Caenorhabditis elegans: one gene and its partner. The protein of the gene in region 1 purifies or fractionates together with the protein of each later gene. This does not show direct contact. Each region holds a gene or a part of one and is shown on either strand. Other genes may lie near its edges. The genes, in order: cri-2 and mltn-1.

The links.
Region 2: the proteins of cri-2 (region 1) and mltn-1 fractionate together in Caenorhabditis elegans (co-fractionation; one large-scale study listed by BioGRID). This does not show direct contact.

Annotation. Positions count from the first base shown.
Region 1 is NC_003283.11:8,200,137-8,203,250, forward strand, and holds cri-2 (Putative metalloproteinase inhibitor tag-225), read left to right. Parts: upstream 1-1,671; coding exon 1,672-1,896; intron 1,897-2,037; coding exon 2,038-2,244; intron 2,245-2,288; coding exon 2,289-2,333; 3' UTR 2,334-2,387; downstream 2,388-3,114.
Region 2 is NC_003280.10:13,138,954-13,146,897, forward strand, and holds mltn-1 (MLt-TeN (mlt-10) related), read right to left. Parts: upstream 6,273-7,944; 5' UTR 6,205-6,272; coding exon 5,963-6,204; intron 5,167-5,962; coding exon 5,015-5,166; intron 4,827-5,014; coding exon 4,658-4,826; intron 3,926-4,657; coding exon 3,570-3,925; intron 3,486-3,569; coding exon 3,361-3,485; intron 2,705-3,360; coding exon 2,114-2,704; intron 1,021-2,113; coding exon 526-1,020; 3' UTR 391-525; downstream 1-390.

The DNA of each region.
Region 1 (3,114 bases):
AAAATGGAAAATCCCTTTTCTTGAAAACCGAGAGATGAAGAGAACCGAGACATACAAACAAAACTCTCCGTAGAACGGCCTATGGTGACACTCACAAACAACAACATAATTGGGAGAATTGAGAGAAATAGTGGGAAAATGCGGAAATTTAGGAAAAAGAGGTTCAATGAACATATTTATAGAGACAATTGTTTTTGGACGGGAAAATGTGAACTTATGGGCTATGAAAATTTTTATAAAAGTACGATTACTTCCTTGCCGGAATTTCAATTTCAAATAATCAAAGCTGATAATTTAGTTCAAAATAATATTCCACAATAATCATATAATGTTTAATTTTCAGTAGTTTCATTCGGGATAGTTGTAAAGAACAATTTTGTGAACGATAATTGCAAAAAAATCGTCTTTTATCCAAAAATCTCATGGCAAACAAAATTATATTTCAAGCTTGTTTTCAAGCTTTAGAATCACATTTTTCAAGCTTTAGAATCAAAGAATCAGAAATCATAAGAATTTCATTTTAAGCTTTGATTACCACATAAATCATTTGGTATGGATGAATGATGCTTTTCGTTTTTTGGTTTTGTGACCATATTTTATGAGTCCACCGGAATTTTATAAAAGCTCGGGTCTCTGAAAAAACTGCTATAAGCCAAGCTGAACATTCGCTTGAAACAAGCGTGAAATGAAGTATACTGTCAGTTTGTTCAATTATTAGCACGGCAGTTGGCTATTGTCATTGAAAGTGAATGTTTGAGTGAGTCTCTACGGATTGAAACTTTTTTTTTTGAAGTTTGATGAATGGTTTGTGAAACAATATTTTTGTGTCTCGTTTTTTATTTTATAAAGTCAAATATTCCAAAAGTCCAATAGTGAATCACAAACTTTGGTTTATGTTTTGCAGCATTGTGAAGAAGTTGTTATTAGTCTCGATGCCATGATGAAGCTACAATAGTCTTGGGTTATAATAGGTGAACATTAAATTTGCCTGGGATGCTATAACAGAAATTTATGCAGGCCAAGGAGTTTCCGTGCCTTCGCAAACTTTTTTTTTCTACATATTAATTCAATCAAAACTTATTTCTTATGTACATGCAAATTAAGTATTCAGACTCCAGTTTCCAAAACTATTATTTCCAGAAAAATGTCTGTAAAATAGTGAGTTTGGAATTTCTATCAAAATCTCTTTTCAGTTATCTTTATCATATTTCAAGACGTCATAATAATGATTCATCACTTATTCACCATCTTTCATTTTTTTTTGTCACACTAATGTTATTGTTACACTTCCTGTCTCTCATCGTCTCATATCTCTCGGATCTCTGTACTATATCTACTCTTGACCGATTCAATTCGCTCAACCAATGTCATCTCACGATCAGTCTTGGGTTGAACTATCAACAAAATAACTATTTTCTTTTTTTTTTGTTTGTTTCAAAAACAAAAACTTGAGCCCAAATTTATAGATTCTTGTATTTTTAAAGTTTATGATATGAATTATTTGGCTAGAAAAATGAATTATTTGAGCAAGTTAATGTTATTTTGCCATCAAAAACAATTTTTGTGTAAAAAAATATATTATTACCAAAATTTTCCTGCTTTCTTCATGTTTCATTTTTTTCATTTTCACAATTTTTTTTCACCTCGAATTTATACTAATTCCATTTTCAGATGCAAAATTTATCTTTATCTCTAGTCATTCTATCAGTTCTCATTGCTGTAACTCTTGCTTGCAAGTGTAGAGAGCAATCAACCAAGGAATCATTCTGCAATGCTCACTGGGTTTCTCATGTCAAAGTGAAGGTCCGTGTAGGAAAACAAGGACTTCCAGAAGGATCCGAGAGAAAGGGATTGAATAATTTGAGATACACTGTGCAACATGTCGAGGTTTTTAAGGTAAGCGAGTTTGATTTATTTTACCCCGCAGGTGCTAAAAACTTACTGATAAGCTTATATCAGCGTTCTATACAACTGAAAGTAACATGCATTTCAAACTTACAGAAAAATGTTTCTATGTCAAAGTTTTTTTAATTTCAGAAACCATCCAACATGACAACTCTGCCAGATGAAATTTTCACTCCATCAGAAGCTCCAGCTTGCGGGCTCAAGATTGCCGCCGGTCATGAATATCTACTTGCTGGTCGTGTTGAAGGACCAAATGCTTTGTATACTGTTCTTTGCGGTCAAGTACTGCCAGATGACAGATCTCAAACGTCATTTGAAAACGTTCTTGAATGGAAAAATGTGAGTTGAAAATGCTGTTTGCTAAATAAATTGTTAACTTCCAGGTTCCACAGACATTGCAATCTCAAGTCAAGTCTATCAAATGCTAGAAAGAAATAAAAACGATTTTATTAGTATTTGATAATAAAACTTTAATGAATCTGATTAAATAAACTTACAATTAATGAAAAAAACTTTTAAAGCGAAGCTATGATAAAACAAACGATATTTTCATGTGAGTGAGCAGAAGTTATTGTTTGTAAAAAATTGAAAGCATTATTTTTTCAATAATCGGTATTCGATAATCAGAGGGTGACAGATGTTTTCAGCTGTAAGACTACAAAGGGTGAAAGTCTCACTACATGACTACACGGTCCCTATTGATGGCTACACTGAAATGGTTCAACAGCGCCATTCACATTTTCAGGTGTTCTATATATGTATGTGTTCTCTGCCGGGAATATTTTGTTCAAAACTTATAGCTTTAATCTTTGAATAAATCAAGAAAAAAATTCCTATACCCAACATCTATTAAAGTTATCTTTGGAGAAAAATTTCATGTTTCAGGTTCCTGTTGAGAAAATGTTTCCAAATTTGCTCGGGTGCTCTGAGATCAGTTTTAAAATGAATAACTGTGTAAAACTGTTTGAGTTTTCCAATGTTTGTCGTTGAAAACTGTCGTGGAATATTCATAAAAAAATTTGTCAACAACATTATGAACACGACTTTTTTATTCAAGCACATTTCGCTAAAACCTTCTGTTTTTGAGTTCTACCGATTTGAATAAGTTTGCTAAATTGTCAAAACAAAATTTTGAATTCATCTGTAGCTGGATTATAAATTTTATTCAATTCCCGTGTTCTCCCACCTTCTCATGTTCTTCTTGTCTTT
Region 2 (7,944 bases), on another chromosome or scaffold:
GCAGTTTTGTCGGTTGGAAAAGCAGAACTATTCGGCAACTTTACCGTACTCTTAGTAATATGGCAATATTTTTTGGAGCTCAAAAAGTGTAAAAAATTATGCAAAAAAAACTAAGTTCACTGGTTTTCGCTCGATTTTTGCCTAATGCTGCAAGATAAATCTGTGCGGCAAATTTCAAAATTTGCCGAGGTCTGCAAATGGCAAATTTGGCTAACTTGCCGAACACTCCTTGCTTGAGAGGAGCACTTAATGTATCTTGATGTAATTTGTTAATTTGTTAGACGCTCAGAAAACTAATCTTTATCCACTCTCATACCAGTTTTCGAACAGCTTAAAAAATATTTTCTTTAGACTATCTTGTCTGGATTTGTTTTAGTGTAAGTCAAAATAAAAATTATTATATTTTTATTATTATTAAAAATAATCAATTATTAAATTGTACATGTAATAGTTGTAGATTGAGAAGTTAGATATATGACCCATAAATTCACAAGTGAAGTATATATATATATATATATATATATGTTATGAAAGCCAACTTGGAGAGGCAAACACGGTGACCATAGCTCCATCGGATCCCCACGCGGGGCTCAGAGCATATGGAGAAAGCACGACAGCAGTCACATACTGAGGAGAGAGGATTGTCGGGGACAAGACGAATGGGGACAGAACTAGGGGACTCAACGCCAGTGGGTTCAGAATAATTGGTCCGAGACAGAACGGAGTCAAGATCAGTGGAGTCAGTACTTGTGGGGAGAGAATGAATGGGGCGAAGATGAGCGGGGAAAGTACGAATGGATTCATGGATCCTGGGCACAGGATGAATGGGTTAAAGGCTAGAGGTGATAGAATGATCGGAACCAGCAGGAACGGATTCACAGCTACTGGTGATAGAAGACGCGGGGAAAGAATGACAGGTACCAATAGCCATGGGGAAAGGATCATTACTCCGTAGACAGCTGGAGAGAGGATCAGTGATGACAGCATGACAGGAGACAGGATTGCCGGTTGGGAGACAGCCTGCAATATGGGAGATTTTTTGTTGGAAAATTTTGAATAAATTTTCCAGATTTTCAAGTAAGAGCGTTCGATTTTTGAGAAAATTGAGACAGAGCCACTGATAATGGCAATATTACACTATTCAAAATTTTTCTATGAATAACAGTAATTTTGGTGCTCCAAAAAATATTTAAAAATCAAAATTTTCCGAGTTTGCGAAGAACGGCAAATTTGCCGAATTTGCCGAGTTTGCCGAGCTCTGCAAATTTTCAGATAGCCCTGATCGGCACATTACGAAACTAAGATAGTCTTCGAGCAATTTTTCAAAACTTTCACTGAAAAGTAAAATTCTTTTCAGAATATACAAACATGTTTCTATATATTAAACAAAATTCGTTCCATCTGAAAATAACATTTATATTTGTTGAAAAATCTCTTAAAAAGCCTCAAGTTGTGCCAGAAAGTTGCCGTTTGCTGAAAAAAATGCCGTTAAAAGTATTTCGGCAAACGATAACTTCCAGGGACTATTTGAAAATTTTTTCAAACTTTTCAACAAACATAAATATTATTTTCAGATAGAACAAACATTTTTCTACACTTCTATACCTATTTTAGATTTAAAAAATTGGATTATCATATTGAAAATATTGAAGCCGTTTTGTATGTTTGCTGCACAGTCAGCAATTGTCGACCGGCACAGCAATTGTCGACCGGCAATTCTACAAAATGAGACGGTTGGCCAGGCTCCCCATAAATTTTTCATTGAAATTTAATGATAGAATATAAAAAATATTTGCTTCATTTAAAAATTACTGTTAGTTTAGTAGAAAGATCTTCAAAAATAGTCTGAATGTTGAAAATTTCCGGTGAAAATTGCCGAAAAATTGACGGCAATTTTCCACATTCAGACTATTTTTGAACACTTTCTCGCTATTTAAAAGTCTAGTGAAAATTATTTTCAAGTAAAGCAAATATTTTTTATATTGTATCTTTAATGAAAAAAAAATAAAAAATTTAATGAAAAATATTGTTGGAACATGCCCAACCGTCTAATTTTGTAGAACTGCCGGTCTGCAATTGTCATGCACCCCTGCGCACAGGCCAGTTAACTCACCACTGGATCCAAAATGAAGTTACTAAATGTGATCGGTGATAAAATAATATCATTTCTCTTTGCCTCAAATTTGACTTTCTCATGTGCCAAGTCCTTGATTGTTCCCATAATAGCTCTATCGATTTGTGGTCTGCTCATTGATTTTGCCAATTTCAAGAACTTCTCATTTTCCCCCACTGATCCCTTCCCGTAGATCAAATCCATCTGATCATGTCTCATAATAGTATAGCCTGTTCTGTTCATCTCCTTGAGCTGCTCATCGGTATAAGTTTTATCCAAAGACTCGAACATTTCGATTTTCCTCGCCTCATGCGGATATTTTTCTGTTACATTTTCTTTTGTGAAGTACAACGGTTGACCTTCAGGCCCTCTTCCCATCGCATCGTCTTTGAGTCTTCGATACTCTCCGATTTTTCTTTCAACCCGTTCCATCGCTTCATTGACACCAGTTGCTTCCACAATAAAATCCAAGAAATCCTGAGAGTCTTTGTTATCGGTGAGAGATCCTAGGATGTTTCCGAGTGATGCTTTCTTTTCTACTCCAGAGCCATCCTCGTGTAGAGCAAATAGTGAAGGAGAGAGGAGATCAATCTGTAAATTTCGAACATTGTGTCCGGCAAATATGCCGAATTTGCCAAACTGACCGAGCTCGGCAAATTTCGTGATTTGCCGCCCCTGGAATCGGCAACTTCGGAAATTTCCGGTTTTGGAAACTCTCGGCAATTGTCGGTTTTAGAAATTTTCGGCAATCCGCAATTTTGGAAATTGTCGGTTTTGGAAATTTCCCGGCAATCGGCAATTTCGGAAATTGCCGGTTTTGAAAATTTCCGGCAATCGGCAATTTCAGAAACTGCCGGTTTTGGGCATTTTTTTCGAGATTTGCTGGTTTTGGAAATTTTTGTTTTCTATCGAGATTTGCTTGTTTTCGAAATTTCCTGCAATCGGCAATTTTGGAAATTGCCGGTTTTGGAATTTTTCGGCAATCGACAATTTCGGCAATAGCCGGTTTTGAAAATTTTTGGCAATTGCCCGTTGCCGAAATTGTTATGGTTCGGCAAACTTGAAAATTGCCGGTTTTGGAATTTTTCGGCAAGCGGCAATTTTGGCCACTACCGGTCGCCAAAATTGATTTGGCCGACCGAAACTTTTGAAATTCGGCTAGTCCGAAAATTGCCGGGTGCCGAAATCGTTAGGGTTCGGCAACTTCGGCAAATTTGCCAAATTTGCCGCACACGCCTGTCCCTTACCTCATTATTCTTTGCAGCTTCTTCTTGTGGAATCACACTCATAAGACGTGGACTGATAATTCTGACAATTTTCCGATCGAAATCTGTTGTATTGTGACCCGACATTTCCAATCCCATCTTGGCGGCTGTTTTTTATTTATTATAATTAGAAGGTTTCGTTTTGTAAAAATATATCTTTTGGCCAAATTAAAAATTTTCACATTACTAACCATCTCTCATCATTTTCATCGGAATCATCATCAACTTTTCCTGTTCCGTCATTTTATTCTTCCTATTCCTCAACACCTCCTTAATCTGATCATTGTCTATAAATTGCTCCAAATCGTTGAACTCCTTTAAACTATCATCCTTCGCAATCTTCTTATTCTGCTTCATCTTTTCAGCTGCATCTGCATAAATCGACATTCTCTTTTGCATAAAATCCTCCATTTTCTTTTGCTCTTTGATTTCTTCGGCTTTCTTGGTGATTCGTTCGATAGTATCTTGCCACTTTGACACCTTGTCCGTCTTTTTGAGAAGTTTCACAGCGCTAGAGAGATGTCTCGTTACCAGGCCGAATGGTGTCCTAGAACAGATTACGGTTTATACATATTTTATGGCAGCAAACAAATTGTTTAAATCGGCAAATCGGCAAATTGTCGGAATTGAAAACTTCCGGCAAATTGGCAAATTAAAAAATTGCCGGAATTGAAAACTTCCGAAAAACCGGCAAACCGGCAAATTGTCGATTCGCCGAGTTTGTCGGACAATGGCAATTGCCGAAAACTGTCGACAAATAGTGGATTGTGGTTTTGTACTTTTTTGGAAATTTCAGAATTTCAAATTTTGTCGACAAAATGGTACGCATTCGATGAATGTTCCTACATCTGTTTTGAAAAAAATAAGCAAATTCTATAAAAATATCTAAAGAAAACGGGAAAAATTTCAAAAAGGCACAATTTTAAGTGTTTCCGTCTTATAAAAATTATCTTTAAAAACGTCTGGCAATTTGGCAAACCGGCAAACCGGCGATTCGGCAAATCGATAAATTGCCGGAATTGAGAATTTCTGACAAATCAGCAAATAGCCGAAAATCAAAATTTCCGACAAATCGGCAATTTGCCGAAAATCAAAATTTCCGGAAAATCAGCAACCCGGAAATTTGCCGAAAATTAAAATTTCCTGCAAATTGGCAAATCGGTAATTTGCCGAAAATGAAAGTTTCCGGAAAATCGATAATTCGCCGAAAACCGGCAATCCGATTTGCCAATTTTTTTTGTCAATAAACAATTTTTGCCGCCAACACTCAACCACTTACATTTCTTTTTCGGCTTTTAAAGTATAGCTATCTCTGGTGTGCACTCTAATTTCTCGTTTTGCCCGAAACTTGAATGACCCAATCCATTCTTTATCTTCCCGAATCTCTTTTTCAGTTATTGGAGTCATTGTAGTGTTGGTAACCATCTTATCGATTCGGCGACGCATCTCTGGAATATGTTCAGTACAGTGGGGATCAGGGCTGAACGGCTAGCTGATTTTTTTTTTTGGCTGTCAGCTCGTACAGCAAGCCGACTAATTGGGCAAAATTTGGGCAAAATTGGGAAAATTTCTTCAGAAATTCTCAAGTCAACTAGAAATGTTTACCTTTTAAACTACGTAAAATTAAAATGCTCACTTCTGCTGAAGAGCTTTCTCCTATGAACCAATCGATTTCTATGTGCGTCGTCTTCTAGCTTGAGCAAGCAACTTGCGTGCTCCGAAAGAGTTTCAGCCTCGGATGAGCATTTCTCATGGCTCTTTTTTTGGTAGTCTTCAACAAGGGCTAGTCTGAAATATTAATATATTTAACAAATTTAACAAATTGCTCGTGGCATTAAATGCGTATTTTCTTAAATGTTAAGTAACGAAATTTGAGAAATTGCCATTTTTAGATCTAACATGGTCCAAAACTACCAAATTTTGTAATGAGACGTTCTGAAAATTTATTTTTTAAAAAGTTATGGCCGCTCAAAGTTTAGGCAAAAATGGTCAATTTCTAGCTAAAATCTCAAATTTCGGCAACTTTTCAGAGTGCGCGGCAATTGCCAGCCGGCAATTCTACAAAATGAGATGGTTGGACATGTTCCCACAATATTTTTCATTAAATTTTCATGATATAATATAGACAAATATTTACTTTATTTGAAGATAACTTTTATTTGACTTGGAACAACCGAGAAAGTGTTCAAAAATTGTCCGAATATTGAAAATTACCGGTGAAAATTGCCGCCACTTTTTCGGCAATTTTAACCGGCAATTGTCAACATTCAGACTATTTTTGGAGATTTTTCTACTAAAATAACAGTTATTTTCAAATAAAGCAAATATTTTTCTATATTGTATCATTAAATTTTAATGAAAAATTTATGGGGAACATGCCCAACTGTCTCATTTTGTAGAATTGCCGGTCGAAAATTGCCGCGAAAAGTTGCCAAAATTTGAGATTTTAGCTAAAAAAAAAGATCATTTTTTCCAAAACTTTGAGCGGCCATAACTTTTTTTTGAAAAATTTTCAGAACGTCTCATCACAAAATTCGGTAGCTTTAGACCATTTTAGGTCTAAAATAACAAAGTCTGATCTCACCTTCTTGTAGCAATCGCTGCGACAACTCCGGAAAATCCTTGAACCGCCCAATGCTCCAAGAGCTCTTCTCCAGACTCTGTCGACATGGGAACATTGAAAACTTTGTCTTTATAATGTGGAGATTTCAAGATTTCTTTTTGCGTCAACCCATATTTTGTCACATCTACTTCCGATTTAACTTTTAAGCAGGTGCATGGATACGGTAGAAGTGTTAGAAATAAAATAATAGGGAATAGGATCATAATGTGGTAAACCAGAGACCAGAGAAAAGGGATTCCCTGTGATTTTATGGATTTCTGGATGTAAAGAGGGCGGAGTTTTCGGATTCATCCCGAAAGTTTTTCCAAAACGTGGTTATCACTTGCTGGGCGGTGCCTTCCCGTGACGAGGAGAGAAGATGTTCTCAAAGGATGGGAGATGATCCCGTTGAACCAAGATCTATAGCATAACAGGTGGCCACATTTTGATCCTGATTTTCACGATTTTGATGATAAAGATTGAAGTGTGTATGTGTGTGTTCATATCACGTGGAATGCGCATTGTTTCAATGATGCTAGTTTGAAGGGGGGGGGGGCGGTCAAAAAGGATTCAAGTTTTGGTTTTTATCTTTGAAAATGCGAAAAACTATTTGTTCCCTGTATGTGTGTTTGACAACTTCTCAGGTTCTTCGGATTTGGAAGGATTAGAAGTTTTATACGGTAATTCAGTTTTCTCGAGTGATATCCAATAGGATCCCTATATTTGATTACGATTTATGCACACAGTGTACCGGTAAACTAGGCTGGGCGGCAAACTACAAACGATTTTTTCCGGCAAATCGGCAAATCGGCAAATTGCAGAAATTTAGCATTTTGACAAATCGGCAACTTGCCGGAATTTAAATTTTGGGCAAACCTGCAAATCGGCAAATTGCCGGAATTAAAAATTTTTTGGCAAATCGTCGGAATTGAAACTTCCGGCAAATCGGCAAACCGGTAAATCGTTGGAATTGAAATTTTTGTTGGCAATCCGGTAATTTGCCGATTTGCCGAATTTGCCGGAAAAACGGAGATTTTCGAAAATTTTCGCCGAATTGTGGTTTTTCAATTTTTTTAAGCTTTAGAATTTCAATTTTAATCGGCAAAAATGTACGCATTCTATGAATGTTCCAGCATCTTTTTCGAAAATAAGCAAATTCTATGAAAATATTTAGAAAAAACGGGAAAAAATTTCAAAAAGGCACAGTTTCAAGTGTTTCTGTCTTCTAAAAACTCCCTCTAAAAATTTCCGGCAAATTGATGTTTGGCAAACGGCAAACCGGCAAATCGGTAAATTTCCGGCAATTCGGAAAATCGGCAAACTGCCGAAAATGAAAATTTCCGGAAAATCGACAAACCGGAAACTTGCCGAAAATTAAAATTTCCGGCAAATTGGCAAATCGGTAATTTGCCGAAAATGAAAGTTTCCGGCAAATCGATAATTAGCCGAAAATGAACGTTTCCGGCAAATCAGCAAGTTGCAGAAAATCAAAATTTCCGGCAAATCGGCAAATTGCAGGAATTGAGAATATCCGATAAATCGGCAAATCGACAAATTGCCAAAAATAAAAGTTTCCGGCAAATCGGCAATTTGCCAATTTGCCGAATTTGTCGACAAAAAATTTGCCGAACGGCAATTGAACAATCAATGACTTACATTTCTTTTTCGGCTTTTAAAGTATAGCTGTCTCTTGTGTGCACTTTAATTTCTCATGAATGTTCCTACATCTATTTTGAAAAGTAAGCAAATTCTATGAAAATATCTACAGAAAACGGAAAAAAAAATTCAAAATGCACAGTCTTAAGTGTTTCCGTCCTTTAAAAAATCCGCCTAAAACCTTCCGCCAAATTTTGAGCCGGCAACGGCAAATCGGCAAATCGCCGAAAATGAAAACTTCCGGCAAATCGGCAAACCGAAAATTTGCCGATTTGCCGAATTTGCCGGAAAATAAATTTGCCGAAAAT